7 linked regions of the Macaca mulatta genome follow. The protein of the gene in region 6 interacts with the protein of the main gene of each other region in a pairwise test. Links are inferred from orthologs where the notes say so. Each region holds a gene or a part of one and is shown on either strand. Other genes may lie near its edges.

Region 1 (4,215 bases), on a different chromosome or scaffold from region 6:
GAGGCAGGAGAATGGCATAAACCCGGGAGGCGGAGCTTGCAGTGAGCTGAGATCCGGCCACTGCACTCCAGCCTGGGCGACAGAGCGAGACTCCGTCTCAAAAAAAAAAAAAAAAAGGCACAAGGAATTCTCTGCTGCTATTCCCCTCTTAACTAGCAACCCTCTAGAACTAAAGCGCTTCCTTAAACAGCCAACCTTAGGCTGTTCCTACAGAAGCGATTAACTTTTTGTGCCTTGACAGTCTGATACAGCCTACGAGCCGAATGATTTCATAAATACATAAAACACACAGTAGTACAAAGGCAACCGACTGTATCGAAACACCAAAACATTTTAAATGTCACGTTCTATGACATTACAGGACAAAGACTTGGCTAGTCATCCAGCAACTACCCTAATTTTGAAGAAACGAGAATGATTGATAACTGAAAACATCTTCCACAACTGTAATGCTGAGATCTGAAAATACTAATGCGGCGTTTTTTTTCGGGGTTTGGGGGGAGGAATTACACTGTTAACTGAAAACTAAACTTGGGTACACAGAAAAAACACATCTTCCTCATTCAATTTCACGGACCCTCTGAATGCACTAAGAATATCTGCTCTAAAACGTCTAGTAAAATAATGAATCCATAGGAGGTAGAGTCACAGATTCTCAAGGTGGGAGAAGGGTATTAAAAGTCACACGGCTGAGCGCGATAGCTCACGCCCGTAATCCTCCCACTTTGGGAGGCCAAGGCGGGTGGATCGCTTGAGCCCAAGACTTCAAGACCAGCCTGGGCATCATGAAACTCCGTCCCTACCAAAAATACAAAAAAAAAAAAAAAAAAAAAAAAAAACCCACAAAGAAAGAAAAAACCCCTAAAAACAAAACAGAACAAAACTCAGCCGGGCATGACGGCGCGCGTCAGTGATCCGAGCTACTTGGGAGGCTCGCTTTAGCCCGGGGGGCAGAGGTGAGCCGAGTACCATAACTGCCCTCCAGCCTAGGTGACAGAGTGAGACATTGTCTCAAAAATATAAACAGGCCGGGCGCGGTGGCTCAAGCCTGTAATCCCAGCACTTTGGGAGGCCGAGACGGGTGGATCACGAGGTCAGGAGATCGAGACCATCCTGGCTAACATGGTGAAACCCCGTCTCTACTAAAAATACAAAAAACTAGCCGGGCGAGGTGGCGGGCGCCTGTAGTCCCAGCTACTTGGGAGGCTGAGGCAGGAGAATGGCGTAAACCCGGGAGGCGGAGCTTGCAGTGAGCTGAGATCTGGCCACTGCACTCCAGCCAGGGCGACAGAGCGAGACTCCGTCTCAAAAAAAAAAAAAAAAAAAAAAAAAAAAATATATATATATATATATATATAAAAAAACAAAAAAGTCACTCGTTAACAAAATACCCCTAAAACTCCCTTAAATATCCCATAAGATACGCAGTACTACGGTTTAAGATTTATGTCTCTAAAAGGAATTTTAATGCAAGTCTAAAAATCCCTAGAACAAAAATAGTACGCATGGAAACACCGTATTTACGGTAACTAGCATAAATTTCCATAGCAATGAAAACGAATATTAGAGTGTTCCTCCTTTTACAGGATTTTACTTCCTTTTTAGCTATTAGACCTCCACCTTATTATACATAAATTGAAGCGTTGTGAAAATTTAAAGAGCTGCCTTCCACTGGCAGTCTAACCCTAGCCAAACCTCATGCCAATCGAAAACCAATTAATAAAAATAAACTCAACTTTCAAGTCACTGTTAAACACTGCAACTAATCAAACAATTACTGCATTTAAAAAATGACGTCGAGACAATGGGACTTACAAAGGCAAACGGCGTTAACACTGCATTCAGATCATTTTTATTTACTTTTTACGAGCAACTGCAAAGCGAGAGCGCACTAACGTTACCATAGGATCTTGGCACTGCGCCTAAGAGCAGAATGAGGCCTCCAGGCAACACAAAGCGGAGGAAAACGCTCATCCCACTGATCCTTTTTTTTTTTTTCTGTCCCCACCCACCACTCTGAGGTAAGCGAAGGGTCCCGGCAACCTTGCGGTCTTCGTGGAAGGGGGCGCTGCATCTGCCCTGAAGCTGCGCCTGCATACGGGGCAGAGACGCCAGCGGCCATGATGAAGCCGCCATGTTGCAACGGCCATTTTACAACGCAGTTCTCCCGCCCCGTGGCGCCAAACCCACCCCCATCTGCAGCTCCGAGTCTCCACCGAACGCGACCACCCCGGGGCTCCAGGGAGCACCTAACCGCCGGTCGTGGCTGCCCAAGCGGCCGGGCGCGCTGCAGGACAGCCAGAAACCACCGCCGCCCCTCCCCCCGCCGCCACATCACTTCCCCTAACCGCCGCCATGGCGCCTTGGTCGCCTCCCTACAATAGGCTGCTCTCTCCGCGCCCTCTTCCTCAGAACAATAACAAACACTTGACGAGGGTGTGCCACGCGCCAAACGCTCCCTCTCCCACTCTAACGCCTGCGTAGCACTCTCGCTTCACAAAGCGCTCACAATGACGCATCGGAATTGCCATCCGCAATGCGCTTTCCCCGCACAAAGCACTATCCGCCGCCTTCTCAGGGTGCACCCCGAGCCACCCCCGGCCCTCAAACCTCAACCACCTCGAGCCCGCCTCCATCTCCTGCGCCGTTAGGTGCCTTTTTCCCAAAGGCGCACACTCACCCTCCTGGAATTTAGGCTTCGGGTCCTGCTTCGGCGCCATTTATAAGTGATTCGCCGCCTCCTCCTTCTCCCACCACCCCCGACTACCGCCCCCTACTCTCTACCCCACCCAACTCCGCGTCAGACGCGCCGTCAGGCACTGCCAGCTCTACATCCTGGGCCGGATTTGCCAGCGCCCGCAGACCTCACAGCAGCGCGACCCGCGCAGCCGCTGCTCCAGCCAATGACAACCCGCCGCGCCCGCGCCCCTGCGCCCGCGCCGCCCCGGGGCACGCCGGGACTGGTAGTTTCTAGTTGGTGGAGGCGCAGCTGGGTGGGGGAGGGGCCGGCTACCCTACCCCACTCCTCCCCACCCCCCCGCCACTCCCCATCCCCCGGGCTGCTGCGGGTTGGTAAAGCGGGGAATTGATTACGTGGGAGGTTAAAGCAGAGCGGGCAATGGGGGAGAGTCGGGGCGGTGAACCACCAGCGATGAAAAAATGGGAAAAACCCAGTTGCGACGTCCTTTGGGCAAATAAGCCCCCATTGATGTTGAAGTAGCCGGAGAGAATAGGGCTGCCTCGAAAACCTATATTCAATAGCATTCCGCTAGTTTTTGCATAGAAAAGCTTTAGGATCAGCAATGTGGCCACAAGAGGATGGGAAGTGGGGTCCGCTTCTGGAAGCTTCGTTGTTTAGCAAGCCCACTGCCTAGTCTATTTGGTGGGATTGATAGCCATTTGTTGGCTCCCAGGTCTACCTCCTCTTCTCCAGTCCCGGCCTTGCGGAAATGAGGAAGATGACGTGGGAAACACTAGTCAGGCTTTGGCTTTTTGAGATAATGGAGCTCTGCTATCCGCAAAAGGCTAGTGTGAATATGCCAACCTCTGCATTCCGTACCTGCCCTGTTTGTACTTTTTTGTCATCTAATTTTTTGAGCCATGATTGAATGTACACACACTAAACAAACGGATTTCTTCAATATTATATATTTTTCTTTTCTTTTCTTTCTTTTTTTTTTTTTTTTTTTTTTGGAGATGGAGTCTCGCTCTGTCGCCCAGGCTGGAGTGCAGTGGCCTGATCTCGGCTCACTGCAGCCTTCACCTCCCAGGTTCAAGCGATTCTCCTGCCTCAGCCTCCGGAGTAGCTGGGATTACAGGCACGTGCCACCACGCCCAGCTAATTTTTGTATTTTTAGTAGATACCGGGTTTCACCATGTTGTCAGGCTGATCTGGAACTCCTGACGTCGTGATCCGCCCGGCTTGGCCTCGGAAAGTGCTGGGATTACAGGAGCAAGCCACCGTGCCCAGCCTGCCTCCATGGCTTTTCTAAGCCCTCCCCTGCCCGGGTTCCACACCCTACCATTTCCGGGCCCCTCTCCATTTTTCTGACTTCCATTTCTCCTTCAGTCTTTTTAACACAACCCCTTCTTCGACAACAGAAACCCACAAAAATCTTCGTTATTCCAGTTGAATATACACCATCTTGTCACGGCTGCTACTTGCAAGCTTGTCCAACCTGCCTTATTTTCCTGTTGTTTTGTTTTGTTTTGTTT
Region 2 (3,500 bases), on a different chromosome or scaffold from region 6:
TTCTGAATCATTCTGAATCTCCACCATTCTTTATCTTGATTTTTATTATGCCACATACCTCTTTCACTTTGTGTTAAATTTGTATGTACTCATGGCCCATTTCTCACAACAGACTGCACATCCCTTGATTGTAAGGACCATGTTTACCGATTGTTTTGCTCCTAGCACCCAGCATGGTGTGTGGCACATGGTAGACACTTAACATATGTGGAATGAATGAATAAATGAATGAGCAAAAGAATTAGTACCTGAACAAAAGACCATTGCTGGCCCATTACATCTCAAGTTTGGTGGATGCAAGAACCACCCAAGAGATGCTGGGATTTGTGGATTTTGAAACAGAGTCAGATTGTAGGAAATTAATCCCAGGGTGAAAAATATAAAACTAGATTGAATCCTGGAATGCTAGAGCATCACTTGCCCAACTCTCCCACCCAGGCCAATCTAACTTGGTCACAGTGACTGGAAATAGAGATATTACATTACTTTTCTTAGCACTACACCCAAGGAAATTTCCTTCCGTGGTCCTACTTAGAATTCATAGCTTAAAATATATCTTACATTTATATATGTCATGTCTTACATATTAAGTTTCAAAAATAGCTACAGCATAGCATATAAAATTGCTTTTAACTTAGATCAAATTCAACAAGTTTTTTTTGTTTGTTTTTTAAAGATAGAGTCTCATTCTGTCACCCAGGCTGGAGTGCAGTGGTGAGATCATGGCTTACAGCAGCCTCAACCTCCCAGGCTTAAGTGATTTCCCACCTCAGTCACCTAAGCAGCTGGGACTATAGGTGCAAATACCACCATGCCTGGCTAATTTTATTTTTATTTTTTTATTTTGTAGAGATGGATTTTGTCATATTGCCCAGGCTGCTCAACAAATATTTACTAAGCACCACTTACATGACTAACAACATGATAGTTCTGCTTTTGAATTCACATGAAAGTAAATTGAAATAATGTACAGATCGGAAATTCCAGGGACTTTGGATGTTTTTTTCCTGTTTTTACATCCAGCTACCTTTCTGTGGGTACCAGAAGTCATGTGGATACATCATCTAAAACATCAAACTATTGTTTTCTTAGAGTTAGGCAGATCCAGCTGGGGCTGATTAGGACATTCACCCCTCAATGGGTCAATGACTGGCCCTGGGCAAGAGTTAACCAAATTCCATGGTCAGAGCTTTCCGTGAGGAGGAGGCAGCTGACTCACAGCTGAAGGTGTGTGTGAAGTGGGACATGGTCAGAGTTCAGGCTCCTTTGGCTGCTCTGTTTACCCACTTGTTCTATCTCTTGGCTGCTGGTCTGCCTGCTTTCCCCCAGTCATTGCTTCACTGGTTCCTGGAGAAAGGGATTAGGCGGATTCTGATTGTTTGCTTTTTTTCTTTAAACTTAGAATTATCTCAACAGCTCACATTGTCTCAACAAATAAGCTTTCATTTTCCCTTTGATTTTGGAAGGGTTAGTCATGAACACTGACCATGGGTCATCAGTACAGGCCCCCCCAACCCAAAAATAGGAGACATTTTACAAAATCTTTTAAACTCCCTTTCTGTTACTTCCCACCTTTTATTTGTGTCAAAACATTCACCATTCCATGTCATTCATTGTTGGCTGAGTGCCAGCCCAGGGTAGAGAAATAATAACTGAACAAGCTGTCCAAAGACCTAAACTCGAATTCTGACTCTTCTACTTACTGGCTGTGTGTCCCTGGGGAGATCTCCAAGCCCCTCTGCATCTTGGATTCCTCATCTGGAAAATGGCAACAAAGCTCACCTTACTGTGTGATTGTGAAGTTGAAATGGTCAAATGCATTAGAATTGCAGTGTCGCGACTGCAGGGAACTCAATGCATACTCATTCTTCTTTCTCAAACTTTAGGCCTCCTCTGGAGTTCCTGGTCTAGCTCACTGTCTTTACTTGTATAGTCATAAGATAATAAACTCAGCGAGCTAATTTACTTGCCCAAAGTATTTACAGTGATTCAGTAGCAGAACAAAGAGGTAATCCACTTGTAACACCCAGGTCTATGTCTCTGTGTATCAGGTCACACTACTGAGGGTGGAGTGGTGAAGAGAGCTGCCTGGCGAGACAGGTCGGCTCCCAGGACTTCCGTTACCTCCCGAATCTGTGAATTCATGCTTGTTTTCAATCCTTTCCTGACCCTAGGTTTTGGCCCCCAGTCAGTTCCTTGTCACAGTCCCAATAAAAGGCCTGGCTGGGTACAGGGAGGCCAGGGAGCAGCGCTGGCGGTACTACACCCTGCAGGGCACCAGGCTGCCCTGCCCGTTGCGGGACCCTGAGGGTCTGCAGCAGTGGCTGGAGGTGGAACAGTTTATGAAGAGCCTGTGGCAGTGGCATGAGACAGACGTGAACATCGATGGAGACATTGTGCCCGCTAAGGTCCTCCTGGTGTTCCGGAAGCTGGTGGAAAATGCAATTAGAACCTGTCACCTCTCAGGTGAGCTGATCAGGAACAAGTGCAAGGGTAATTGCTGACATTCCCCTTTCGCTCTACAAAACCTCTGTTTGGGTGTTACCTGCAGCTCACAGCCTACATTTGAGAAGATAATCATGTGCTCTTCACATTTATTTAATCTTAATAAGATGAATCAGCTTTTTTCCCCTGCCGTTGATGCACAGAAGGTTGGAATTCATTCTAACAAAATAGTGTTGTGGCTTTGAGAAAGTTACTGTGCTGGCATAGATATAAAATGCTGTGGATTATGCACCTTAACCAGGCTTAAAAACTTAAGCATATTTGTTTTAAAAGCAAATTATTCACAAACCCCAGGTCTTCTTTATTAGTACATTTTTACTGCAGCACCTCCATGTGACTGCAGTACCACAGTGTGCTGAGATTCCACATTTGGAAACCACTAACTTGAACCAAAACAGAAAATCCAGGAGCCAAAAGAACTGACTAAATTTGACAAAGTCTTAAGCTACTGTACAGCATATGCCCACACACACACACACACACAAACACCTTTTTTGTTCACACAAAGTGAAAAGGTGAATTTCTAACTGGAAAGAAATGGCCAATTTTCTTAATTATATAATTAGGAAAATATAAATTTTCTTAATTTATAAACCAATAAGAAAAAAGATGAGCTGACCAATAGAAATAATTATCAAAAAAAAAAAAAAAGGAATCACAGAAAAAGAGTACAAATGGCTTGCAAAAATAAGAAAAGACATTCCATCTAATGTATATTTCAACATATATTAGAATATACCTCATGTTGGGTACATTAAAATACCTAACAAGTTAAAAGAAATGAAAAGTTTGATCATGCTTAGTGTCGAGTGGGCATGGTGAAATGGGTATTTTCCTGTTGTTATTAGAAGTGGAAATTGGTGTCTCCTTTTTAAAGAGAAAGTTGTCTATATTTTATTTTCATAATGTGCTCACTTGACAATTCAACAATTCCAGTTCTAGAAATATATTTCTACAAATTAAATTCTACAAATATATTCATAGATTTATAAATA
Region 3 (4,005 bases), on a different chromosome or scaffold from region 6:
TGATTGGACAAATATGTGCCGAACACCTACCTCATGCCTGGCGCATGCTGGAGGCTGGGGTTGTATCAATGCAAAAGTCATTCCCTGTATTTAACACTTAAATGAATTAGTCTCTTTAACTCTCCCAACGCCCTATAAATTATTTGCTCCATAATACATATTAGGAAGACAGAGGCAGAGAGATGAAGTGCTTTGCTCGTGACGGTCACGCCGCCACCGGTCACGCCGCCACCGGGACGCGAGACAGGCAGTCGTCCGGCTCTCACCCCCAAGAGCACTACATTATAAGGTAGCAAAGTGAAGACACGCTGTCATTAACTGAGCTGCTGTGTGAGGCCGGGGACGGACATATCTTTCTGAAGCACAGAGAAGCGGTTATACAGGGAAGTTTGGGAGAACTGGGTTAAGTCCGCATGTATGGAAATTGCCAGTTTCGTGGGTCACAACGTCAATATTGTGGGCAACCTTGGACTGACTCAATGCGCAGTTGGAGACAGCGACGAAGTGCAGAGCGTCCTCAGCCGGTGACTAGACTCCCTAGGAACTGGCGGCGTTGGCAGGAGAAGAAAACAGGCATGAGAACGCACCCACTGTGCACCGGAAACAAACAGAAATTGCGCCACCCCGCGCCCAGTCTACTTTTCAGATGTAAAGGAATCGGGCAGATCGCAACTCCCAGGCATCCCGCAAAGTAGGCGGGTCACCTTAGGGGCGACCTTTACCCGCTCAAAAATTCGTCTCACATTAGCAGTGAGGATTCGGGCGTCACCCCGAATCGTTATTTTCCTTACTCATAAGTTTAAGGCATAAAGAAACAGTAACGCTTATTTCCTAGGTAATGAATCATATTCTCATTTGGCGTATGATGAGTATCATAGTTGACCGTTGAGGTAATGATCCACTTCCATTGAAGTTTGTCTTACTCGTTAATGAAATTATTTTGTTGCTTTTCATTTAATGTTTTTTCTTCGGAGAGAATAAATAATTCATAATGTGCCGACCTTCTGTATGCAGATGAGCAGCCAGCTCCGCGAAGGCTCACGGGGAGCGTCCCCGCCCCTTCCGGTTCTTGCTTGCGTTTAGCTGGCTGTCGCGAGAGTTGGTCGGCGGACGTCGGAAGTAGTTCGTCGCTCTGTAGCGGCCGAAGGGGCGGGCTCGCGGGCTGGGGGTGTCTCGGCAGCTTTCGGCTCGCTCGGCGGAGCAAGATGGCGGACATCTCCCTGGACGAACTCATCAGGAAGCGCGGGGCGGTGGCGAAAGGACGGTGAGAGACCTTTCTTTTCTTCGGGGTTTCGGGTCCGCGGCATAGTGGAGCTCGAGGCGGGGGAGGGAGCGGCCCGGGCGCGACGCGGAGGACCGGGTGCGCCCGCCCCCAACAGCAGCCGCGCTCCTCATTGGCCGGGCCGCCGCCGTCGCCGCAGCGGCCCCGACCGCCCGCCCACTGGCCGAGGTGCAGTCCCTCCGGCGGGCCTGGGAGGCCGACGGGGCCGCGGCTGGACAGGGTGCCGCCTCGTGGACTTGAGGGGCTGCACCCTAGGGCCCCCGCGTTCCGGGGTCCGGGAGTCTCGGCGGTGCAGCCCCCTGGCCTGTCTGGACTGGCATTTGGGCCCCGCTCCGTGATCTCGGGGCTGCTTGGTCTCCACCTATCTTATAGTTGAGGCAACCGAAGTTTAGCAGCAGGGAAGTGACTTGCTCCGACGGCCGAAGCTGAGGCGCAAGCCCAAATCCCCGTCCACGCGGCCTCTGTTAACACTCGCCTCCCTTTGTGCGGCGTCTTAAGTTTTCTAAGCCTGTTCGTATAAACGATGCCTCGTTTGATCTTTCACGGTCCTGTTGTCTGCTAGCAATTCATGTTACTCCACTTTTACTGATGGGGAACTTGAGGCTGGGAGTGGTAGAGTGACTTGCCCGAGACCACGGAGAACTGAGCGGCGGGGCTGAGTGCGATTTAATTGCTGGCTGAGTTGGCCTCCTGCATGGGCTTGAAAAACAAGTGGGCTGGGCTGGAGATTGGTTATTTCCTTAGGGAGAAGAAAGTGCTTGAGCTGGGTGAGGAGCCATGGAGGTGATTTGCAGTCATGTCTCCCAAACTTCCCCATGACCGTTAAATGTTATTAGTCATTTCAAGTCTTTGTGAGCTGAGTTCACCTGTATGAAGAAGTGAGAACTTTGCCCAATAGTTTCCCAACACGCATTAAGTTTAAGTCTTTGTAAATAGCCAGGATGTAAATATGTTAGATACTGTTTTCTCAGACATATGTTTTCTCAGCAGATGTTTATTTTTATTTATTTTTTGAGACGGAGTGTTGCTCCGTCGCCCAGGCTGGAGTGCAGTGGTGCGGTCTCTGCTCACTGCAACCCCCGCCTCCCCGGTTCCAGCGATTCTCCTGCCTCAGCCTCCCGAGTAACTGGGACTACAGGTGTGCACCACCACGCCTGGCTAATTTTTGTATTTTTAGTAGAGACGGAGGTTTCACTATGTTGGTCATGCTGGTTTCGAACTCCTGACCTCATGTGATCTACCCGCCTCGGCCTCCTAAAGTGCTGGGATTACAGGCGTGAGCCACAGGCCCGGCCATTCAGCGGATGTTTATTCATATCACCCGTGTGCCTGTGGCTAGGTTTTTCTCTTGATGTCTGAAATGTATCCCTCACCTCCTTCCCCATCTGGACACTTGTATCAACTACAACTGCCACCACCACCTGGTAATTCGCAGCCAGCACTTACCGGGCTTCTGGTTCATAACGGGCATGCATTAGTATTTGTTTCCTCAGCTACTGACTGCGAAAGCTTTCTCACATCTCCGCCTAGTGTCTGATGTGAAGTTGGCGCTGGCTCCTCTGGCCACTTCTAAATCCATCCAGGTTTTGTAGGTTCCTTTGGAAACGACAGAATGATTGACACCAGGTTCTTCTCTCTCTGAGGTCACTCCCCCAGTTTCTGACTACAGGTGGACCGCACTGTAGTCTATTTGATCTGTACGGTTTTGGCTTTAGTGTGTGCAGAGTTTTGTGTTGGGCAGTAGGTGGGGCTGCAGGAATGGGGTGAGGGGTATGTGTGGATCCACAGGAACAGGGGCCTTGCAGTTGGATATACCTGGCACGTGAAACAGTTGGGTTCTGTTTCCCTGGCCAGGGGACTTCTAAACTAGGCAGTTTCCTCATTTGTAATGGTGATTCCTGGTTGAAGGAATTAAATGTGAGAAAGGTTTTTTTTGGTTTTTTTGGTTTTTTGTTTGAGACGGAGTCTCGCTCTGTCGCCTGGGCTGGAGTGCAGTGGCCGGATCTCAGCTCACTGCAAGCTCCGCCTCCCGGGTTTACGCCATTCTCCTGCCTCAGCCTCCCCAATAACTGGGACTACAGGCGCCCGCCACCTCGCCCGTCTAATTTTTTGTATTTTTTAGTAGAGACGGGGTTTCACGGTGTTAGCCAGGATGGTCCTGATCTCCTGACCTCGTGATCCGACCGTCTCGGCCTCCCAAAGTGCTGGGATTACAGGCTTGAGCCTCTGGACCCGGCCGGGTTTTTTTTGTTTTTGTTTTGAGATGGAGTCTCACTGTATTGTCCAGGTTGGAGTGCAGTGGCACAGCCTTGGCACACTGCAACCTCTGCCTTCCGGGTTTAAGCGATTCTGCTGCCTCAGCCTCCCAAGTAGCTGGGATTACAGGTGCCTAACACCACACCTGTCTAATTTTTGTATTTTAAGTAGAGATGGGGTTTCACCATGTTGGCCAGGCTGGTCTGGAACTCCTCACCTCAGGTGATCCACCCCCCTCGGCCTCCCAAAGTCCTGGGATTACAGGCATGAGCCACCACGGCCCGCCAGAAGGTATGTTTTAAAGTTTGTGCCATGTGGCAAGTGTTCAGCAAAGGCTGGTAATTATCTTGAACCTTTCCTTAAAGGAATAGAAGCACACAGTGCCCCTGGAGCATAGGTGAGCACTGGGACTCTGGAGTCACCGTCAGGGTTCCAATCCCCGCTTCTCCCACTTTCCGTAGAACCCT
Region 4 (3,500 bases), on a different chromosome or scaffold from region 6:
ACAGTCATCCCCCAGGCCCTTCCAGGAAGAAGAAAACCGATCCATAGATTTGCTGACTCTCTAGGGCATTTCAGCCTAAGAGAAAATTATTTTTTTTCTTTTGCTTTTATTCGTATTTATTATTTTTATTAGTAGTGTTCATAATAATAATATGGCAGTACTTTGTATTTGTGCAGTAGCTTTTCAAGCTTACAGAGAGATTTACATATGAGGTTTTACTTCTGTAACCATAAATTTATGACATTTTTAAAAGGCCTCATCCTCATTATCTCATTTAACATTCTCGGCCCACCTGTCAGCAAAATAATTATTTTTGCTATATTAAAGATGAGAAAGCTGAGATGTAAACAAATTGAATTGCCCACATTGATAAAAAGGGACTGGAACCCAACCTCCAGATTCTAAAGCTCCATCAGTCCCTTGCTGAGAACTGGATGGTGTTGAGATGACAGCTTTTCCTAAAAAACACTCTTTTTGTCCTGGTTTTACTTTCCATTATAGGACTTCATGAATATTGTAGAAAAAGGGAGAAAACCTTAAACTCTAATGGTCCCTTGTTATTTTAGGTATAGTAAGAAAAAACAAAGTGTAAAGACTCTGAGGGAATGTCTTATTACTGATATCGTGAGGCATTGGCAATATTTTAAAACGTAGAAATCTTAAGGCAATGTCTAAAATTAGCACAGACAATGCCAGTCCAGGTTTTCCTACCTTGCTGAGGATGTCTTTGTCACAGTGAGTCAGGAAAGCAGAGTTTAGCAACACTCCCTTTCTGCCATGTAGCAGTCATTTCCTTTTCCAATTACATCCTAGCCAGGAATCTGAGTAATTTTTCCCTCAATGCAGTTGGGACCATTTTCTCATTGGAATAATTTTCTCTTAAATTATGCTAACTTAGAAAATAATTGGCTTATTTTCTAAGTGTATATGTTCATTCTATTTAAATAAAAGCAAGTAGAAATATTTTCCCTTTTAAAGAAAATGAATTACCTAAAGCGGATTTCTTAAATTTTGTAATCATATTGGGAAATATGAGTTGCTCAAATAATACACTTTAACACATATATTAGTTATTTCTGCATGTTGAGTTACCTATTTTCTGCAATATTTATTTTACTGGGTTAAAATCTCAATCTCACTAAGAATCCAATTTACTTCACAAAATGTTTGCTATCTGTTATACAAAATTAAGAGGTGGGAGATATTGTCTGAATCCAGAGCCTGTTGATGTTTAAGCAGCTAACCTTCAGTTGTTTAAAACACTGCACTTCTGGATGATAATCTAAAACATGGAGAAGTGGTGGCAGTTGGACTAGTTGATTTCTCCCTTTTAAAAATAATAATCACAACAATAGAGTGCTCTAAATAAGATCTGTAATGAAGGGTCTTATTGGCCTAAAGATTATTCTCTTTTCCCTCTTTCTAATACAGAATGATGCAGGAATGAGCTTTGAGACATTTCGGATTGTTTTCTTACAATGACAGTAAGAAATAGCTGAAAGCCTTTTCTTTCTGCCATTTCAGCTATGTTTCTTAATCGCTTATCCATCACCTAGTAACAGTACATAGGGACTTGCTTATCCTGCAGACCCATTTATTTGACAATTGAAAGTAAGAATTGGGAATCCAGGACTTTGGGAAGCTGAGACGGGCAGATCACGAGGTCGGGAGTTTGAGACCAGCCTGGCCAACATAGTGAAACCCCGTCTCTACTAAAAAATATAAAAAACTAGCTGGGCCTGGTGGCAGACACATGTAATCCCAGCTACTAGGGAAGCTGAGGCAGGAGAATCACTTGAACCCGGGAGGCGGAGGTTGCAGTGAGCCGAGATCTCACCATTGCACTCCAGCCCAGGCGACAATGTGAGAATTCATCTTAAAAAACAAAAACAAAAACAAAAACAAAAACAAAAACAAAACAAAACAAACCAGAATTGGGAAATTTGATTTTTTTTTTCCCCTGGGGTCGCAAAATTTCTAAGATACTTCAGTAAATTCTGGTAAAAGAAAGATTCCTTCAATCCTAATTCTAGCATTCATCCAAAGAATATCGCTCAAGTGGGACGTTAAGTTAAAGTCTTGCAGGTCCTGTTTTTATTGTATTTCAGAAGGGTGACCCCTCAATCTGCCTGCCACGGCCGATATATCAGAATTCCTACAATATCATCTCGTTCGACTTGTACTGATTTTTCTTTTCTTTTCTTGGTCTTTACTTCAGAAGGAAAAGGAACGCCTAAATGAAGAATTACATGAATTGAAGGAAGAGAATAAGCTTTTAAAGGAAAAAAATGCTCTTGTGAACGAGGAGAAGGAACATTATGAATGTGAAATAAAACGCCTTAATAAGGTATCAGGCAGGTCAAGCATGGGATATTAAAATGAGAAGTCCCTGCATAAAACATTCTTACCGAGAGTCACAACAAAATCTAGGCTGCAGTGTGGGTCCCAGCTTTCAGGCACAAGAAATTAGCTGTGATTTTATAAATCACTCCTAGCTGCAGCTTTCAGCTATACTTGGCTAAGGAGGTTTTAGGGAATTTTTGTCCCTACAAAGATTCATCATGAAAAAGAGAAATGAGGAGGAATTATAGAGACAGTAAGAACGTTTCTTAGTTTGAAGAACCACATAAAGCAAGTGGGTGTTTGCGAACAATAACGTATCTCTTGGTCAACCACAAAAGCTTCCTCAGGAAACAAACTGCTCTTTAAAATGATCACTATGGAGTTGGGTGTGAAACACACTCTAAGGAAGCATGCTAAATGCTGAATCCAAGGCTGAGATGGTAGCTCTCTCAAGTGCAAGCCTAAAACCTACTTTAAAGTCAGGAAGAGGAAAGGTGTGCGCATGTGCATGCAGTGGTGTGTGTATGTTGTTTTATGGACTAGTTGGTTCATATTTTGGAGGAATGGGTCGCTAAATAGTTCAGGAAAAATAATCCTATACTGTTGACTTTTCCAAGAGCCAACCCATATGTGGAACATAGGAATGCTATAGCACATGGTTGAGTTGAGATACGCATCTCTCAACTAGATATTTCCCGATAAAAGAACAGAAATTGTCTTCTGAAACAAGAGTAGGTGATTGGACTTGAAACAGATGCTCAACCCCTGTATTTTGGGCCACATGCCCATGGTTCTAGTTAACTAGTGTTCAGAGATGTCATTTAAAGATCCTCAAATTATTAAGTATGTGCCTGCATAGCTGATAGGATGCTTTGCACATGTGATCCTGTAGTAGATCTGTTTGTGGGACAAGTTATTCTTCAGGAGAAAATTGGAAAGTGAGGATAAACTTCATAATACACTTTATCCTCTAAGAGAGAAAAACCATGCTCAAACATACAATGCAGGGCAAAATCTATCTTTTCCCTTTTGTTCTCTTCCAGAAAATGTTGCACAAATGCATTAGAGGAACTATAAACAATTGAGATTATATTTAAAATCCTCCCATTTTTGATACCATATTACAAGTTTTCTTACATTGTCTCATTTATAGACTG
Region 5 (3,500 bases), on a different chromosome or scaffold from region 6:
GTTTTGTGTGCAATCAAGAGGCGTGCCCTCTCTTACAGAGAAAAGACAAAAGATGTGAGAAATAGCTGTGTCTTTGAATTGGAATGTAGCTAAAAGGAAAACTGGAAATAGCCAGGACTTCCAAGTTCCTGACCATTGTTTGAGCCAAACATTTATGTGTGTTGACTCATCTGTTATCTAATATTGGTGGGAAGGTAAAGGAGAGGGGGTCCACGGGAAGGGTCAAGAAACATGAGGCCAAGGGGATGGTCTTTGGGCAGGAGAGTAAAATAATCCCTGGGTGTTGACAACAGGAAGTTAATCCTTAATGGCTCAAAACACTTTGGGTTTCTCTTTGGCAGGTGCCTGACTCCCTGCAGACCTGTGCTCATGAGGCAGTTAGGTGGAATCCCCCATACTGGAGTCCTGAGGCCCACTCTGCCCAGGACCGCCATAGACAAACTGAGGAAGGAAGAGGATAATTACAGAGGTTCTGTGAGGTGAGTCAGAGCCACTGCCGGAGCTGCCCTTCTTTGTCCTCTGGGCCAGGGAGGTGCCGAAGCGGAGGGTCTCGTAGACAGGGTCCACCTTATTGCCACAGGCTGCAACAGAAGAGAAAGTTCATCTGAGGAAGCTCATCTGAGAGGACCCAGCCAACTGCTTACCACATCTCCTGGGTGAACAGCACCTGAGAAGCAGGCTCTGTGCAGAGGACCTCAGCCTCTGTGTAGACGGGGCTTTCACGGCCAAGTGTTCCTCACAGATGCGCCCCCATGCAGCATGCTCCCGTTTGCAGGTCCTGCCATGTACCAACTAGTACTCTGCTCCCAAATTCTTCCTGATTGGATTTCCTCTTTCATTACTCCTCTCTAATTTCCAGGTTCTTACAGGGACCAGCTTTATTTCCTCTACTGGGAGGCTGTGCTCACCAAGGTACAAAGCCTTGAGACACAAAGTTTGCAGTAGGAGGCAACTGTTTTAGAAATAACTTGTCACTACTGAGCCTCATTAATTTCTAATTGAAAGCTTTCTAATTTACAAATTTCTAGTTTAAAACTTGCCCCCCTGAAAAAACAAAAATAGATGTCGAGATTTTCAGAGAGAAAAAAAATAATAGAAGTAAACTGAAAAATATTGTTAGAGAAGAAATCCAAGCCAAAGCTATCAATAAATATAGGGTATCTTTTGATCTTCATTAGAGAATAATGTATTCACTGAGCTCCTACTAAGCATTGGTGTATAACCTATATTTATTTTTTATAGCAATTATGAAACGCAGCAATTGCTGTTCTCATTTTGTGGGGGTTGACAGGTCAAGTAACTTGTTCAAAGACACGCAGTTGTCAATAGGGAGCTGGGCTTTGAATCTGGTCTGGGGGATGCCATGCTCTGTGTTCTTTCCACTTCACCATGTTGCTGACGGTGGGATTACTAAGCCTTTGGGACTTAGGTGTTTTCTGAGCTTCATCAGGGAAAGGATGAAAATTCCTGGAGAATTTGGTCCACTTTATGTTTCCCTTCCAGCAGAACACACAGTCATACCCCAAACAGCCACCAAACAAGTACACAGATACCCCACGGGTTTTGCAGCCCTGGGAGGAAGCCATTACTAACTTTGCTGCTTCAAACTCAACTCAACCCATCAATGTCCCGACTCACCAATGGGCATAACTTCTTTAATGCAGCCAAACTGTTCATGAATGAGCAAGGGGGAGCTGTAGTAACGCCGAAACCCCTTTGGCTGGAGAGAGAATGAGGAAGGCAAGGGGTTAATGTCAAGGCAGATGGAGAAAATCATACAAGAGCTCCCTAAATAAAACCAATTGGTTTCTCCAGGAGCACCCTCCTGTCTCCCATTAACATGCTGATTTATCCTATAATTCCACAATTTAACCCCAGCAGGGACACAGAGGCAGGGAGGAATAGTGGCAACAAGCAAGTTACATTCTATCCAGAAAACAAGGTCCTAGCCCTGACCTCCCCAGTCCTGCCTGTCCTCCTTCTGCAGGGCACTGCAGCCTCCTTTGTATCCCAGATCCTCATTGCCTCCTGGATTACAAGCGGACTGCCACATATTATTTCACCACAGTTGGTTATTGTGGTTTGTTAAAATAATATAAATAAAAGAAAGGCCTGGGCGTGGGTAAGTAGACCTCAGAGGGAGGCCTAAAAGCTCTTGTATATCTGAAGAGCTTTACCCAGAATCATTTGCTCTGTGTTCTGGATTCTGTTCTCTCTTTTTCCGACCTCTCCTTCATGGTCTGTCTTGGCTTATGGGAATCACCACTGGAGAAGGAGAAGGGGAAGCAGGGGAGGCAGAAGTTTGAGAAAAGAGACATTGCGAATCAGAGTAAATAGATAAACTAAGAACCTGGACTCACTATACGCCACCACTGGATGGGAACTTGGTGGCCCAGTCCCTGCTAGAATTCCAGAATCCTCTGTAATGTTCCTGGAAAGTGGTGTCCCTTGTCAGTACACTGTCACTGATGGTAGAGGGTGAAGGAGCATTCACTAACCTTAGAGGCAAGACATGATCTTTTATCGCTAAGACTTAGTATCCACTGATGTTAGGCCTTTCCCCAGGAGCCTCAAAGGACAATAGAGTTACTCTTCTAAACTTTAGGCCTAAAATTTTTTGAAGACAGCTGTTGATGTCCTGTCTAATTATTCTCTAGGGTAGACATTCTTGGTACTTTTTACAATCCTTTGGCCATCCTAGTTTCAAATACCCTCAAATTTGTGTTCTGCTCTGGATTGCTTTTTGAAAAAAAATTTTTGAGATAGGTTCTAGCTCTGTCACTCAAGCTAGAGTGTAGTTGTGCAATCTGGCTTACTGAAACCTCTGCCTTCCGGGCTCAAGTGATCCTCTAATCTCAGCCTCCTGAGTAACTGAAACTACAGGCACACACCAACACACCCAGCTAATTTTTAAAATTTTTTTTTTTTTTTTGAGACAGAGTTTCGCTCTGTCGCCCAAGCTAGAGTGCAGTGGCACGATCTTGGCTCACTGCAACCTCCACCTCCTGGGTTCATGCCATTCTCCTGCCTCAGCCTCCTGAGTAGCTGGGACTACAGGTGCCCACCACCACATCCCGCTATTTTTTTTTTTTTTTGTATTTTCAGTAGAGACGGGGTTTCACCATGTTAGCCAGGATGGTCTCGATCTCCTGACCTCGTGATCCACCCACCTTGGCCTCCCAAAGCGCTGGGATTACAGGTGTGAGCCACCGCACCCGGCCTAATTTTTAAATTTTTGTAGAGACGGGGGTCTCACCATGTTGCCCAGGCTGGTCTCGAACTCCTGGGCTTAAGCGATCGACCCACCTTGGTATCCCAAGTGCTGGGATTATAGGCGTGAGCCATTGTGCCAGACTTGAATTGCTTCTTAATCAGTATGTGGCACCAGGACTGAAGCCCATCCTCCTGAGATGGTATGATCAGCCATCTCAAGGGCCATTCAATCTCCCTTGGTTTGGCCAACATGATTCTGTTAAATTGGTGCTGATATTTATTACTCT
Region 6 (3,500 bases):
ACAGCCTTCAAGCCAGTGCTGCCCAAACCTCGAGGGGCTCCGTCCCTGCCTAGCTTCATGGGTCCTCGGGCCACCGGGCTGTCTGGGAGCCAGGGCAGCCTGACACAGCTGTTTGGGGGCCCTGCCTCCTCCTCCTCTTCTTCCTCCTCCTCTTCAGCTGCTGACAAACCCCTGGCATTTAGTGGCTGGGCCAGTGGCTGCCCATCAGGGACGCTATCCGACTCTGGCCGAAACTCACTGTCCAGCCTGCCCACCTACAGCACCGGAGGTGCCGAGCCAACCACCAGCTCCCCAGGCGGGCACCTGCCTTCCCATGGCTCTGGGCGAGGGGCACTGCCTGGGCCAGCCCGAGGGGTCCCTACTGGGCCCTCCCACTCAGACAGTGGCCGGTCCTCCTCCAGCAAGAGCACAGGCTCCCTGGGGGGCCGTGTGGCTGCCGGGCTTTTGGGCAGTGGTACCCGGGCCTCCCCTGACAGCAGCTCCTGTGGGGAGCGCTCACCACCACCCCCGCCTCCACCTCCTTCCGACGAGGCCCTGCTGCACTGTGTCCTGGAAGGAAAGCTCCGAGAGCGGGAGGCAGAGCTTCAGCAGCTGCGGGACAGTCTGGACGAGAATGAGGCTACCATGTGCCAGGTGTGGTCAGAGGCAATGATGGGGAAGGGGCATGGCAGGACATCCCAAGGCCTGGGGAATGAAAGGGGCATTTCCATTTTAGCAGGGAAGAGGGGTTGGGTAGTTGTAGTTGTGACCCCCCTGCCCTCCCCACCAGTTGTCTGGTTTAATTTGTGGAATAGCCAGACGTGGTGGCTCACATCTGTAATCCCAGCACTTTGGGAGGCCGAGGTGGGCGGATTGCTTGAGCTCGGGAGTTTGAGACCAGCCTGGGCAACATGGGGAAACCCCATCTCTCCTAAAAATAAATTAGCTGAGTGTGGTGGCATGTACCTGTAGTCCCAGCTATTTGGGAGGCTGAGGTAGGAGGATCACTTGAGCCCAGGAGGAGGAGGTTACAGTGAGCTGACATTTTGCCATTGCACTCTAGCCTTGGGTAACAGAGCAAGACTGTATCTCAAAACAAGAAACAAAAAACAAAACTTGTGGGGTGGAAAGGAGTCAGAGTGCATGGATTCAAACCTCCCACTGCTAAATACCAGTTTTTGGACTTGAGCAAGTTGCTTAACTTTATTCAGCCTCTATTTCTTCATCTATAACAGGGATATTTCTAGCTTCATAGGATTGTTATGAGGATTAAATAAGGCAAAAGGTGTAAAGTGCTTAGACTAATGCCTGGTATCTAGGAAATGCTATACATAAATGCTTGCTTTTTTTTTTTTTTTGAATTTTTAGTAGAGACGGGGTTCCCACCATGTTGGCCAAGCTGGTTTCGAACCCCTAGCCTCAAGTGAGGCACCCGCCTCGGCCTCCCAAACTGCTGGGATTACAGGCCTGAGCCACTGCACCCGGCCAAGTGCTTTTTTTTTTTTTTTGAGACAGGGTCTCATTCTCTCACCCAGGCTAGAGTGCAGTGGCGCGATTTCGGCTCCTTGTAGCCTCAACCTCCTGGACTCAAGCAGTCCTCCCACCCCAGCCTCCCAAGTAGCTGAAACTACAGGCACACGCCACCACACCAAGCTAATTTTTGTTCTTTGGAGAGGCAAGGTTTTGCTGTGTTGCCTAGGCTGGTCTCAAACTCCGGAGCTTAAGTGATCCACCCACCTCGGCTTCCCAAGATGCTGGGATTACAGGCGTGAGGCACCGAGCCCGGTCTGCTTGCTCTTGTGTTTGTTTCTATGATCATTATAAAAGCAGTTAGTATTGTTGCAATTACTATTGTTGTTTGATGGAATACACCCTTCCTGAGCCCTCAGAAGTGGGCCGCCAGGCAGACACTGAGTGGGGAGTTGGGAAAACTGCCCAGGAGCTGGGTCTGTCTTCTCGCCTGCAGGCATACGAGGAGCGGCAGCGGCACTGGCAGCGAGAGCGCGAGGCCCTGCGAGAGGACTGTGCAGCCCAGGCACAGCGGGCACAGCGGGCCCAACAGCTGCTGCAGCTGCAGGTGTTCCAGCTGCAGCAGGAGAAGCGGCAATTGCAGGATGACTTTGCACAGCTGCTGCAGGAGCGTGAACAGCTGGAGCGGCGCTGCGCCACCTTGGAGCGGGAGCAGCGGGAGCTCGGGCCAAGGCTTGAGGAGACCAAGTGGGAGGTGGGCCAGACCAGGAGGGGCAGGGAGCAGGGTCACACAGGGAGAAACCCTGGAAAAAGGGGCCCAGCCGCACCCTCCCTCAGCCTGCCACCCCCAGAGGTCCTCCCCTTCCTCACCTCCGTGAGATGAAGTTCTCCTCTGTTCCTTTCTGGGAGGAGGGTCTCCTTGTTGGCCTTGTCTAGTGGCACAAAGCCACGCTCCAGCCAGTAGTAAGAATGTGGTGTTTGTGGTGTGGAGGCACTCTTCTAAGCATGTTACATGGGACAGATCATTTCATCCTTATAACAACACTGAGGGGGCTACCACTAGTCTCCCCATTTTAGAGATGAGTAAACTGAGGCCCAGAAAGACTGGAGTGCCAAATCTGAACCCAGGCAGTCTGGCTCCAATATCTGAGCTCTTAACCAAGTCACTGTAGTACCTCTCCAGTAGACACCTGGGTACTGCCCTCCATTGCCCCCACTCCTGCAGCACCTGCCAGCACCCAGTCCCCAGGGCTCGGTGGTACTTCCACAGTGTCTCGTGATGCTTTGAAGACACCAACTTTGAAGCAAAAAAATCTATGTCTGCTTTCCACTTAAGCCACATCTTCACTCTATGACCTTGGACATGTCACTAGACTTGCCTCAGTGTCTCCATCTATAAAATGGGGATAAAGATGGACTCTCCTCCCGAATGCCCAGCATGATGCACAGGGCCTGTCCCCCCAGGAGAACCTGTCTCACCATCCTTCCCCACTGCCTCCCACCCCCAGGTGTGCCAGAAATCAGGCGAGATCTCCCTGCTGAAGCAGCAGCTGAAGGAGTCTCAGGCAGAGCTGGTGCAGAAGGGCAGCGAGCTGGTGGCCCTGCGGGTGGCACTGCGGGAGGCCCGTGCTACCCTGCGGGTCAGTGAGGGCCGTGCGCGGGGTCTACAGGAGGCCGCCCGAGCTCGGGAGCTGGAGCTGGAAGCCTGTTCCCAGGAGCTGCAGCGACACCGCCAGGAAGCCGAGCGGCTGCGGGAGAAAGCTGGGCAGTTGGATGCTGAGGCGGCTGGACTCCGGGAGCCCGCTGTGCCACCTGCCACCGCTGACCCATTCCTCCTGGCAGAGAGTGATGAGGCCAAAGTGCAGCGGGCAGCAGCCGGGGTTGGGGGCAGCTTGCGGGCCCAGGTGGAGCGATTGCGGGTGGAGCTGCAGCGGGAGCGGCGGCGGGGTGAGGAGCAGCGGGACAGCTTTGAAGGGGAGCGGCTGGCCTGGCAGGCAGAGAAGGAGCAGGTGATCCGCTACCAGAAGCAGCTGCAGCACAACTACATCCAG
Region 7 (2,191 bases), on a different chromosome or scaffold from region 6:
TGCAGCCTGCTGTATTTGGGATGAGGGGGGCTATTTCTTACTAGTTTTAGATAGAAAAGCAAGCTTGTCCTGTAATGTGTCCTAGAGGCCAACAGGTTCATGAGTGCTTCCCCCACATTCCTTTAGGTGACTGGTTCTTCAGGGACTATGAAGGTGGTGGTGGTGGACTCGGTCACTGCGGTGGTCTCCCCACTTCTGGGAGGTCAGCAGAGGGAAGGTGAGTGATGTGGCAGAGCCTGGGGCCAGTGGAACGTGACCTCGCCTCCCAGCTCTGGAGTCTGGTCTCTGGCCAGTCCCGTCCCTGGTTTTCCACTGCCCTGCCTCTCTGCTTCTCCTCGTCCTGCAGGCTTGGCCTTGATGATGCAGCTGGCCCGAGAGCTGAAGACCCTGGCCCGGGACCTTGGCATGGCAGTGGTGGTGAGGAAGCAGACTTGGCCAATGAACTTGATTTCTAGTTATTGCTAGCTCTTTATTTCCCTTAAATGTCAGCTTCTGAACCCCAAAGTGGCCCTTTAGGAAAGGGACATATTCCAGCTTCCCTGGGTCAGCTACAGCTTTGCACCATAAATAGCTACGGGAATCAGGAATTGTCTTGTTGTTTTTTTGTTGTTTTGTTTTGTTTTGTTTTCCTACATTTTTTCTTTTTAGAAAGGTTTATTGAGGTATAATTTACATAGAGTACCTTTCTCCTTGTCTGAAGTTTGACTAATGGATATAGTTGTATCCAGTCTTGTGACCCCACCAAAAGGTCCCCCAGGCCCAGGCAACCACTGATCTGTTTTCCATCCCAATAGTTTGGCCTTTTCCAGAACTTCATATAAATGGATCTTTTTGCTATTGAAGTAACTTTTTCTGCTTATGAGGTAGTTTTTTTAAAGTCTGCATGCTTCTCATAGAAAAGATAAAAAATAAATATAAGATTCAAATTTGTCATCAATCTCCATATCCACAGAAACCATATTGATATTTTTACATATCTCCATACAATACTTTTTCTACATATTTACTTATACTTTTAGTCAACTTTCTTTTTTTTTTTTTTTTTTTTGAGATAGGGTTTTATTCTGTTGCCCAAGCTGGAGTGCGGGGGCACAATCACAGCTCGCTGCAGCTCGACCTCCCGGGCTCAAGCAATCCACCCGCCTCAGCCTCCCAAAGTGCTGGTATTACACGTGTGAGCCCACTCTTAACCAGCTTTCTAACTAAACTAACCTCATGAGAAAAAAAAAAAATGGGCCAGGTGCAGTGGTTTATGCCTGTAATCCCAGCACTTTAAGAAGCCAAGGCTGGTGGATCACTTGAGCCCAGGAGTTCGAGACTAGCCTGGGCAACATGGAAAAACCCCACCTCTACAAAAAATAGAAAAACTAGGTGGCCTCGGTGGCAGGAAAATTGCTTGAGCCTGGGAGGTCGAGGCTGCAGTGAGCTGTGATAATGCCACTGCACTCCAGCCTGGGCAACAGAGCAAAACCTCATCTCAAAAACAAACCAAAACAACAACACAAAAAATACCATCTGAGTCCATTTCCTATGTTTTAAAATATATTTTTTACAAATGTAATTTTTAGCAGCTATATATTTTTTTCCAACTTCTCTTATTGTGGTAAAATACATATAACATAAAATTTACTACCTTAACTATTTTAAGGTATACAGTTCGGTGGTGTTAAATACATTCATGACGTTATACAACCATCGCTACCATCCATCTCTATAACTCTTCACCTTATAAAACTGAAACTCTGTACCCATTAAAAATAACTCATTTCTCCCTTTCCCAGCCCCTGACAACCACCAGTCTACTTTCTGTATCTATGCTTTTTGACTACTCTAGGAACCTCATATACATGGAATCATATGGTATTTACTTTTTGTGACTGGCGTATTTCACTTAGCATAATATCCTGAAGGTTCATCCACTTGGTAGCATGTGTCAGAATTTCCTTCCTTTTAAAGACTGAGTGGCCGGGCGTGGTGGCCCACGCTTGTAATCCTAGCACTTTGGGAGGCTGAGGCTGGTGGACTGCATGAGCTCAAGAGTTTGAGACCAGCCTGGACAACATGGCGACATGTGCCCCATTGCCTTCTGGTTTGGGTCGAACCTGAGGCATCGAGATTTAGTGGAAAGAGCAGGGCACAAGTCAGGAGGCCCAGGTTCTAGTTCCAGACCTGCCATTAGGCTTTGTAACTT

The links.
Region 1: the proteins of LZTS2 (region 6) and MORF4L1 interact in binary tests that used the Homo sapiens proteins (3 or more experiments, as listed by UniProt). The two-hybrid records come from large-scale screens. The link is inferred for Macaca mulatta from reciprocal best matches to the Homo sapiens genes LZTS2 and MORF4L1.
Region 2: the proteins of LZTS2 (region 6) and MAB21L3 interact in binary tests that used the Homo sapiens proteins (3 or more experiments, as listed by UniProt). The two-hybrid records come from large-scale screens. The link is inferred for Macaca mulatta from reciprocal best matches to the Homo sapiens genes LZTS2 and MAB21L3.
Region 3: the proteins of LZTS2 (region 6) and POLDIP3 interact in a two-hybrid assay, tested with the Homo sapiens proteins (2 studies listed by BioGRID). The two-hybrid records come from large-scale screens. The link is inferred for Macaca mulatta from reciprocal best matches to the Homo sapiens genes LZTS2 and POLDIP3.
Region 4: the proteins of LZTS2 (region 6) and TNIP3 interact in binary tests that used the Homo sapiens proteins (3 or more experiments, as listed by UniProt). The two-hybrid records come from large-scale screens. The link is inferred for Macaca mulatta from reciprocal best matches to the Homo sapiens genes LZTS2 and TNIP3.
Region 5: the proteins of LZTS2 (region 6) and STAC interact in binary tests that used the Homo sapiens proteins (3 or more experiments, as listed by UniProt). The two-hybrid records come from large-scale screens. The link is inferred for Macaca mulatta from reciprocal best matches to the Homo sapiens genes LZTS2 and STAC.
Region 7: the proteins of LZTS2 (region 6) and RAD51D interact in binary tests that used the Homo sapiens proteins (3 or more experiments, as listed by UniProt). The two-hybrid records come from large-scale screens. The link is inferred for Macaca mulatta from reciprocal best matches to the Homo sapiens genes LZTS2 and RAD51D.

Annotation. Positions count from the first base shown.
Region 1 is NC_133412.1:57,080,683-57,084,897, reverse strand, and holds the start of MORF4L1 (mortality factor 4-like protein 1), read right to left. Parts: upstream 2,801-4,215; 5' UTR 2,721-2,800; coding exon 2,681-2,720; exon of another isoform or gene 2,611-2,680; intron 2,529-2,610; exon of another isoform or gene 2,336-2,528; coding exon of another isoform or gene 2,044-2,335; intron 1-2,043. UniProt on the Homo sapiens protein: Component of the NuA4 histone acetyltransferase (HAT) complex which is involved in transcriptional activation of select genes principally by acetylation of nucleosomal histones H4 and H2A.
Region 2 is NC_133406.1:124,151,810-124,155,309, reverse strand, and holds part of MAB21L3 (protein mab-21-like 3), read left to right. Parts: intron 1-2,174; coding exon 2,175-2,466; intron 2,467-3,500.
Region 3 is NC_133415.1:8,869,453-8,873,457, forward strand, and holds the start of POLDIP3 (polymerase delta-interacting protein 3), read left to right. Parts: upstream 1-1,205; coding exon 1,206-1,264; intron 1,265-4,005. UniProt on the Homo sapiens protein: Is involved in regulation of translation. Is preferentially associated with CBC-bound spliced mRNA-protein complexes during the pioneer round of mRNA translation. Contributes to enhanced translational efficiency of spliced over nonspliced mRNAs.
Region 4 is NC_133410.1:129,984,752-129,988,251, reverse strand, and holds part of TNIP3 (TNFAIP3-interacting protein 3), read left to right. Parts: intron 1-2,218; coding exon 2,219-2,347; intron 2,348-3,500. UniProt on the Homo sapiens protein: Binds to zinc finger protein TNFAIP3 and inhibits NF-kappa-B activation induced by tumor necrosis factor, Toll-like receptor 4 (TLR4), interleukin-1 and 12-O-tetradecanoylphorbol-13-acetate.
Region 5 is NC_133407.1:12,066,823-12,070,322, forward strand, and holds part of STAC (SH3 and cysteine-rich domain-containing protein), read right to left. Parts: intron 1,721-3,500; coding exon 1,639-1,720; intron 582-1,638; coding exon 466-581; intron 1-465. UniProt on the Homo sapiens protein: Promotes expression of the ion channel CACNA1H at the cell membrane, and thereby contributes to the regulation of channel activity.
Region 6 is NC_133414.1:113,067,078-113,070,577, forward strand, and holds part of LZTS2 (leucine zipper putative tumor suppressor 2), read left to right. Parts: coding exon 1-633; intron 634-1,945; coding exon 1,946-2,203; intron 2,204-2,957; coding exon 2,958-3,500. UniProt on the Homo sapiens protein: Negative regulator of katanin-mediated microtubule severing and release from the centrosome. Required for central spindle formation and the completion of cytokinesis.
Region 7 is NC_133421.1:44,622,762-44,624,952, reverse strand, and holds part of RAD51D (DNA repair protein RAD51 homolog 4), read left to right. Parts: intron 1-126; coding exon 127-217; intron 218-346; coding exon 347-417; intron 418-2,191. UniProt on the Homo sapiens protein: Involved in the homologous recombination repair (HRR) pathway of double-stranded DNA breaks arising during DNA replication or induced by DNA-damaging agents. Bind to single-stranded DNA (ssDNA) and has DNA-dependent ATPase activity.